Caenorhabditis elegans: one gene and its partner. Each later gene encodes a partner of the first gene's protein in a complex. Each region holds a gene or a part of one and is shown in the gene's direction. Other genes may lie near its edges. The genes, in order: let-711 and ccf-1.

Region 1 (4,997 bases):
AATGTTGAAATGAACAAACAAGTATAAATGAACTAACAAGTGAAATGAACTAACAAGTAAAATTGAAATGAACTAACAAGTATATTATGAGTTGTGAAACCTGAAACTAATTTCCACTCATAGTACAATAATAGCCTAGAATGGGAAATCTCGCTTTTGGAAATGAAGTTTTTTTATTTGAAATAATAGTAAAAACTATTTTGTTGATCGGTAAAAGATCAAACTGAACAATTTCCAATTTTCCATTTCTTATGCGCAACTCGCTTACGAATGTCATTTCAATCACAAACCTTGGTGGAACAAATGGAGCTGGAGTACTTGGTGGTGGGAAGACCAATGGTGGATGAGTTGGGAATGTGAATGGAGCATGAGTTGGAAGGGTAAATGGAGCCAATGTTGGATGGCTTGGAAGAGTGAATGGAGCAACTGTTGGAAGAGTTGGGAAGGTGAATGGAGCTGGTGTGACAGCAGCTTGTGGTGCTACTGGAACAGCATTTGGAAGCTGTGGCGCGGCAACTGCTGGTGGCTTCTGATCAGCGGTTTGCACAAAAAGTGGGGCTCCCTGAGCTTGAGCAGCGACACCAACTGGCTCACCACCTAGCTGAGCTGGTAGGTCAAAAATAGTGTTTTGAAAGGTGTTCTGCGCTAGAGCCACAGAGGGCAGAAGAGCTATCAGGAGCCACATCACTGGAATTTTGAAATCGAAGAAGAACTGAGATTTGAGGTTCAGCTTCTTCTTTTTCTTGCGATTCTGGAGAAAAGAATAGAAGATCTGGATGTTTTAGAGACGCAGAGAACTGGTGCGGAACGGGTTTTTAGCTTTGTCATCCGAAAATAGTATGAATAGACGAAGAGCGTCAGACATGAGATCGTTTATGTTCCATGTCCAGAACCATCAACACCGCCTCCTTCTTCACCCATCGTTTTCCCTACAACCACGATTTTTATCTTTTCTTTTCTTTTCTTTTGTAAGCAACAAGAGAGAGAAAAGAGGAAAATCCGTGCGTACGGATTGCCTTAGAAATTGAAACAGCGAGAAGTTTGACAGGGTGGTGACATCTGATGAACGATTTATGGGATTGTACTTTATTTTTTATCGAACGGGAATTAGTTGTCAGGGGAGGCATTCAAATGTGACAGTATTTCAGATAATCCACAATTCAAAGTTAAACTATTACACAGATACGAAATTTTGCCGATTCACAGTACCCTGTCTCGACACGCCCAAATATGTTTTAATTTAAAAAAAATGGAGTACTCAAAACAGAGCATATGTCATCCAAATATTATATTCCCAGATGAATAATTTTGAGAATGTGGCCACAAAAATACGGTAACCAAGAAGCAAAATTGAAATATAATAAAACGTTCACAGGAAAAATTACAATTTCTTAAAAACGGATATTTTTCAACATTTTCGAAGTACATGCGCATGTTTTTTGTATGATTGTGATTTGGTCAACTGCTATAAAGTTATAAAATTTATGGTGCACATTTTTTTTATAACTTTCGACACATTTCATGGATCGGTGCTCATTTTCTCACAGCTGCAGCTGTCGATCCTCCATTCTGCTGTACACTAAACAACACGCGCCTCGGAATTTCGGAGTGTCGTTTACAAACTAGAATTAAAACGGAACGGATCTTGGCACGGCGCCAATCTTTCAATATTTTTAACTGTTTCTTCACATAGTTTTATTTGATCTTTAAAAAATGCGCTTCACAAAAATTAGCGCGAGTTTTAAGTTTTCAAACTTTTTAATTCGTTTTTTCCTCATTTTTCGCCCCATTCGTTGTTGAAAATGCATTCAACTTCAGGGTTGGCCCCCGTTTTTCGTGTGGAGGAAAATCATATGATTCGGAATCGAGAGAATTTGGAGAGACCTATCTCCAAAAAAGGTGAGTATTTTTTAAGCTAATATAAAAATATGTAATTTGTTCTTCAAGAAACGATTTATGATTTTTTTTAATGAAGGGAAATTATTTATTGAAGCTGTTTTATAAATTTCACAATGTTGTTGAAATCTTTGAAAAATTTGCAGGCACCATCACGCTTTTGTCGAAAATGCCGATGGGATTCGTGTTGAATAGTTGCTCTTGTGCTTATATCGACAATCTTCTTGCTCATAGCAGTATTCATCGTGTGAAACCTCACTCGTTCATGATTCAGGTAGGATAATCGAATGAAAACTAAAATTTTGGGAGGAAAAAGCTATTTTTCAGCGTCTCGTAGTCATTTGTGGTCGTTCATCACCATCATTGCCAAATCATGCAGCCAATATCATTCTCTCTGCATTCAATTTCTGTCAAATCGAAGCACCGGCGAAAAAGTTTCTTGAAGAAGACGCTGCCCTTAGTCTTTTTCACACTGTAAGCGCTTTTTTTTTGGAGTTTTGAAGCTTTCTTTACATAGTGTTTATTCAAAAATATTTCGTTTCTAGATACTCTCCTATTCGACAGTTACACAAATTAATCGAAGCGGAATAGAGATTCTTGGAGCTCAACGTCTCACTTCGGCTCTCTGTGATTTGATTTATGCATACACGAAGACCATGGATGATATGGTTGCCAGCAAGACATTGACCCATTTGTGCAAGAAAGTGAGTTTTTATTTTTAAATTTTCAAAATTTCCTACTAAAGCTATCCCCTTGAAAATAATATAAACTCCATTTTCTGGGAAGTTGAAACTTTATTCAACCCAAGATAAACGTTAAAATTCGACTCGACAAAAGTAAATTTATAAGCATCTAGGTTCCAAAAATACTTTAGCCTTTCAAAAACTTTCTATAATTTTTATAATTTTCTGTTCAAGTTAGAAAAAAATTTTTAAACCATATTTAATTTATTTTTATTTTTCAAAAAGTGTATTTACCTAATTTCCATTCATAGACGGTTTTCAAAGTGATATAAAAATCTTGAATCTAAATATTTAGTTTCAAGTAATTTTTTCGATCCTTAATTCTTCCCAATTTTGCACTCTCTCCTATTTTTTCTTTTTCCCAACGTATGATTCTTCGAGTGAAAATACAAATAATCACTTCTCGCCCGTGCCGGACAATAACGACAAGACGCAGAATGCGAAAAGTGCTGTAACATTAACATTTGATCGTCGTGGTCACACACAGACAGAGAGAAAAAGAAAGAAAGACTAAGAGGAGATGGACTTTAGGAACGGACGGTCCTCTGTTAGCTTACGGGAACATTGAAAGAGAGCACGAGATTAAGAGAGACACAGATATATAAAGAAAGTTCACGGGATGAGAACTCTCTTGAGAAGGCACACACACATATACACAATATCACATTTTTCTCTCTTTCTTCAAATCTCTAGGCCTTCTGGTCAATTGTTAGAAGTCCACTGGCCAGAGACTAATCCTTTATCATTTAATTCATATATTTATTTATATTAATTTAGGCCAAGACTAGGTTACTGTAGACTAGCGCCCAGATTTTCCAGACAATACAGTTTATTTGGTCTTGTTCTTGATCTTATCTCTTATCAAGCCTTTTCTAATTTACGATGAATCCCTTTAAAAGTAGATGAATGGTGTTATATTGGCGTCATATAACTATTACACATTTATTCAAACGACGCTTTTCTTTGACAGTTTCTCTGCTACTTGTCGATCTTTTCTCCTGCCATATTACTGGTGATAAAGCAGTTTTTCTTCAGAAAAAAATTGTTAAAAATAAAAGATTACTTTTAAATTATTTTTTAATTTTGCAAAAATAAAATTCAAATGATTTATTAGGACGCGCCCACTTTTTGAAGAGTTTCCTGTTTTTCGGCATATTTAACTGGGTTTTCTTGTTTTTTTTTTAAATATTTCTAATGTGACGTCTTTTTTGAAATTACAAATGAAAAACCAAGAAGTGACATTTTATTTTATTGGAAAACTTGAAAAAAGTGGGCGTGGCATAATCAGCCATTTGATTTTTTTCGTTGCAAAATTTGAAATATCATGAAAAATTGAGAATAATTTTCAAAATTATCATTAAGACCCAACAATTAGTCTTGCATGTAAGATTATTCTCAATTTTCTAAATAAATAAAATGCTAAATTAAAAATTGAATTTTGATTCTTTTTTCAAATTAATTATTTGATACTTTTTTGCAGCTAGCCGGTTTATTCGATCCTCTGGTGGTCCTTCCGTTTATCAGCAAGCTCGCCAAGAGCCGGCGTCTTCGTCACTATCTTCAGCCTTTGTTCCTTGGTCACTGTGAATATACATCTGATACGTGGGGTACTGTACCGTTTTTTTAAATTCAATTTTTTTTACATTACAAATAATTTTGAAGGCGTCTCTCCGGAAGGTGCTGAAATATACAATCAAATTGCACGTGGCAACTTCACAACACAAACTTTGATAGAAATAGTACAGACATTTCTGGAGAAAGAAGTGAAAGAAGTTATCATCAGTTCGACTACCGATCCAATCAAACTTGTACAATATCTGATATCGGTGAGAATAATTTATTATTTTTAAACCCTTAAATTTCCAAAAACAAAAAAATTACAGTGTTCCAACCCGGACAACACTGAAATTGTTCAAGCACTGGCCTTCCTTCTCTACTCGAATACTAAACTATTACCAGCTGGAAGTGGTGGGACAATTGACATGGATGTTCAGGCGGCTGATACGATTACAACTGCCCGGCTCGGTGATACAAAGTTCACTCAACCTGTGAAGGATGCATTGCTTGATTCTGGAAGAGAGGCTCTGCTCAGGCGAATGGAGATTTACGGAGTATCGCTGTTGTCTTCTGTTGAAAATTTTGTCACCGAATTGAAACAGGCACCAATTCAGAAAAGTTGGATTTTTAAAAAATTTACTTCATAATTGAGGATTTTCAGAAATGGTGACTAACAATTCAGTTGCAAATGCCATTTTATACATGCTTCAGTACAATTTTGACATGTCTCGAGATATTGAAAATGGAAGACAGTTAGTTTTTTCTAAAACAACATTTTCTGTAAGTAAAATTTCTTGCAGG
Region 2 (4,053 bases), 5.0 Mb from region 1:
CGTCTGTGTAATAACCAGGGCTTCCCTTTTTGTTCCTTTTTTCTTTAAAAAATTAGTTTTTTCAATAAAATTGATTTCTTTACAAAACATGGTTTTTGTCTAAAAAATCGTGCTTTTTATACAAAAAAATTGGGTTTCTTCCGAGAAAATCTGTGTTTTTTCCAAACAAATTGTTATTTAATTAAAGTTTTCGAAAAAACATCTGAAAATCCTCCGAACCTTGTACAAAATCAGCGAAACCACCACAACTCCGGCGGTTTCGGGCGTATTTTTGACCTTTTCAACGATAGCATCCGGCATATGAAGCCATTCGAGCAATGAAATCACATCAACTCCACTTTTAACCACCAAATACAATGCGATAAACCATGCTGTACACGATGCCGCGTGAGCCGGCACAGCGATATACCAATATCTTTTAAAATAATATTTCACTTTTGCGAACAACGTTTTCGGCGCTTCTTCCGCCTTCATTTGCTCGATTTTCGCCGTTTTTGCGAGTTTTTGCTCCTCAGACATTGTCATTCTGAACATTTTCCATTTTTGATCGTCTGGCTTCTTCGGAGTGGGCTCTTTCTCGTGGAGTTGTCGACTTGTGTGCAGGAATCGTGAGCTTGATGGGGTCTGGAATTGAGCACAACAGATGCTCCGCGAGCATCGGATTATGGATCGAGCCAAAAGCATTTTGCCTGAATGAAAATTTTGGCCTAAAGGGGGTCTTAAAATTATCTAAAGTAAGTTTCCCGGGGATTTACACTCTCAACTCTTTAAACTTTTTTTTACGTCAGTCTAGCAATTAAATTTCAATTTATGGCTATTTGGGGGCTACTGAACTTATAAATACACGAATGGGGTGGAAAAAGGGGCAAAAATCAATAAATTACATTTTGTATATATAAATAAAAACAAAAAGAACAAAAACCCAGCACGCAAACGTGCGTTGACCAGTAATTTGGGGATAAAAACAATGATATTTAGTGGACAAGTTCGGTCTTTTGACGAATGGCGTAGTAAAGGCCAATGACGACGATGATGACGGCGACAGTCTCGGAAGAGATTGGAGACTTCGTGGCGAGACCCTGCAAAAAATGATTTTTAAAGATAATTATGTGAAAATGATGCAATTCTCACCCCATGGCTTTGTTGAACGGTGAAGAGTGGCTTGGTGACAGGGTTCTTGGCGTATTGAGCGGCTCCCTCCTCGTCGAAAATGTTAATATTAAAGGTTTGAGCTCCGGCGTCCTTGTGCTCAAGAGTCCATGAGACTTGGAACTTGGCGGTCTCGTCGGAAATCGAGACTGGGATAAGGCGACCGTTTACTTCAGCAGTGTATTGGATATTCTTCGGGTTGTTGCTGCATTGAAGTGTGAACTCGGTGATGAAGGTGGTTTTGTAGTGGAAGAATCCGTCGGTAGTGGAGAATGACGAGGCCGAGTACTTTGGCGACTCGCACTTGGCGCCTGGAATATTTATTGTTTTATTTGTATTAAATGTTAACAATCTACGCTTAAAATTCGAAAAATCGAGCCTTATTTTTATACAAGCCACACATTTGAATAATTTGTGTGGGAATTTATTAATTTTTCCAACTTACAAAGAGCGGAAGCGACAAGGCAAAGGGCGACGGCGATCTTCAGCATTATTACCTGCAAAAAAGTAATTAAATTCGTGTTTTGAAGAATTATCTTGTAAAATGAGTAAAATAGGCATTCTATACGTATTTTACTCGAATTTGCATCATTTTAACGCACAAAATTCATGTTTTTAGGGTAAAAATCAAGAAAATAAGTGAAAAATTCATTAAAAACACATTTTAATTCACTAAAACGATGTTTTCTCGACAGTTTCACGTAAAACAAACTCACTTGGCAGCTAGCCAGTTTGCAGTTCTCTCCCGTTCGCTGCGAGACCCACACCGCTGGGAAACTCCATGCGCCTTTAATGCCGATCCAAAATCGATCGTTCAAGAACTTCTTTTGCGCTTCAAAACTTTTGCAAACTGACTTTTTCTCCCGTTTTTCTGCTTTAAAAGTTTGCGGAAAAATTATTTTATTTATTTTATAAGCTATTTTCGATTTCTGTCCCATAAATTCGTTTAAAAAAATCGAAAATAAAAGCGTTCACTCTAAAACGAAAATTCTAGTTCCAGATATCATAAAAATGGCTTCTAGTAGCAGTGGTGGAGCAGGTGGAGCAGGTGGAGCAAGTGGAGCACCAGAAGTCAAGATTCACAACGTATATATGTCAAACGTGGAGGAGGAATTCGCGAGGATTCGAGGATTCGTCGAGGTACAGCCGATCGTTTGAATATTTTTAAAAAATCGGTTTTTTTTCAGGATTATCCCTACGTGGCAATGGACACAGAATTTCCCGGAGTTGTGGCGACACCGTTGGGCACATTTCGAAGCAAGGAAGATTTCAATTATCAGCAAGTGTTCTGTAATGTGAATATGCTGAAATTAATACAAGTGGGCTTTGCAATGGTCAATGACAAAGGAGAGCTACCACCGACTGGCGATGTTTGGCAGTTCAATTTCAATTTCTCCTTCGCTGAAGACATGTTCTCGCATGAGAGTGTCGAAATGCTCCGGCAAGCCGGAATAGACTTCACATTGCTGCAGGTTTTTTTAATATTGATTTTCCAATATTTTAATAATAATTTCTTTCTTCCAGAACAATGGAATACCGACAGCAGTATTCGGAGAACTTTTGACGACGTCAGGCCTCATCACTGATCCACGGATCACATGGCTCACGTTCTCTTCCGGCTACGACTTTGGATATTTGTTGAAAAGCATCACACTTGGAGATCTGCCTAAGGAAGAGTCAACGTTCTTCATGTGCCACAAAACTCTCTTCCCAACCAGCTTCGACATCAAAATCCTGCTCCGAACTCCAAATTGCGCGTCTGCAAAGCTGAAAGGAGGACTTCAAGAGGTCGCCGATCAGCTGGACGTGAAACGACAAGGAGTTCGCCATCAAGCTGGATCCGACGCACTGCTGACCGCCGCCACGTTTTTCAAGATCAAAAAGCAGTTTTTCGGAGACAACTGGAACCAGATTGCTCCATTGATCTGTGGACATATGTTTGGTCTTGGATCTTCGCTTTCGCTGTTCCATAGCTCCGGATCAACTTCTCGACTAGGCGATGAGACACCACAAGGCCTAATCGGAGTTCCACAACAAGCCTGAACAGATCTCTTTCCCGTCATTTTTCATGTGTCTATTTCTTTTATTTTTTTCTTCCTTTTTCCACCAAAAACCGTCTACACTGTTATTGTAAATTAGCTGTCTGTTTCGTGCCCTTCCCCATCTCTCACCCAAGTTTTTTGTGTTTTCACGCGCCCTATAATTTGTCTTTGTTATTATATCTCCCTATACTTGATGACTATACGCTTAGTTGTTTATAGGTGATCATTACTCTGAAAGTTCGATCTTTTTTATTTGTAATTTTCAGCAGCAGTAGAAGCTGGGCGAGATCGGGCGCCCCGTGTATCTTTTTATTTTCATTTTCCCTCCCCTATGCCCAAAAAAATAAAAATTTTCGAAATCTACTCGCGGAAACTTTAAATTTTCAACTAAAATAAGGGTTTTTGAGCCTGAAATTATCTTTTTCAGCTGTTTTGTCTAGATTCAAAGCTTAACAAAAGTAGTATTTCAGCAAAAAATGCCGAGCGGTGGACAGAGGAAGCACACGATTTCGAACAAGACACGTAAACGTCCCGGAAAGGATTTGGATCAAATCCATGAGGATTTGAAGCCTGAAAAGGCCGCCAAGCTTCTCCAGCAAGAGGTTTTTCAGATTTATTACTCGAAATAAACCCTTAGAATTCGCAACACTGCCGCACGGTTGTATTTTAACTGCTTTTCTACAATTTCGCGTTAATTTTATCAGGAAATCTGGCAAATAATCAAATTTTGCTGGAAAAAATGCTAAAAACTCGTAAAATAAAACTGTGCGGTGAAGTTGCAAAACTGCGTGCCGCGGCATTGCGGTGTGTCTCCGCCCTCTAACAAAGTTTCGTTTTTATTCATTTTATTCTCTTTTTTCGA

The links.
Region 2: let-711 (region 1) and ccf-1 share a complex: the UniProt entries of both Caenorhabditis elegans proteins name them as parts of the CCR4-NOT complex.

The regions. Positions count from the first base shown.
Region 1 is NC_003281.10:6,944,963-6,949,959, forward strand, and holds the start of let-711 (CCR4-NOT transcription complex subunit let-711), read left to right. Parts: upstream 1-1,755; 5' UTR 1,756-1,802; coding exon 1,803-1,899; intron 1,900-2,042; coding exon 2,043-2,170; intron 2,171-2,223; coding exon 2,224-2,370; intron 2,371-2,441; coding exon 2,442-2,600; intron 2,601-4,119; coding exon 4,120-4,246; intron 4,247-4,301; coding exon 4,302-4,465; intron 4,466-4,522; coding exon 4,523-4,814; intron 4,815-4,857; coding exon 4,858-4,948; intron 4,949-4,996; coding exon 4,997-4,997. Other genes in the region: abu-13 (Activated in Blocked Unfolded protein response), read right to left, coding at 291-685. UniProt on the Caenorhabditis elegans protein: Scaffolding component of the CCR4-NOT complex which is one of the major cellular mRNA deadenylases and is linked to various cellular processes including bulk mRNA degradation, miRNA-mediated repression, translational repression during translational initiation and general transcription regulation.
Region 2 is NC_003281.10:11,918,328-11,922,380, reverse strand, and holds ccf-1 (CCR4-NOT transcription complex subunit 7), read left to right. Parts: upstream 1-2,143; 5' UTR 2,144-2,160; coding exon 2,161-2,289; intron 2,290-2,336; coding exon 2,337-2,621; intron 2,622-2,673; coding exon 2,674-3,192; 3' UTR 3,193-3,553; downstream 3,554-4,053. Other genes in the region: Y56A3A.22 (DUF1279 domain-containing protein), read right to left, coding at 220-684; trap-4 (Translocon-associated protein subunit delta), read right to left, coding at 975-1,079, 1,132-1,460, 1,595-1,640; znf-593 (Zinc finger protein 593 homolog), read left to right, coding at 3,668-3,793. UniProt on the Caenorhabditis elegans protein: Catalytic component of the CCR4-NOT complex which is one of the major cellular mRNA deadenylases and is linked to various cellular processes including bulk mRNA degradation, miRNA-mediated repression, translational repression during translational initiation and general transcription regulation.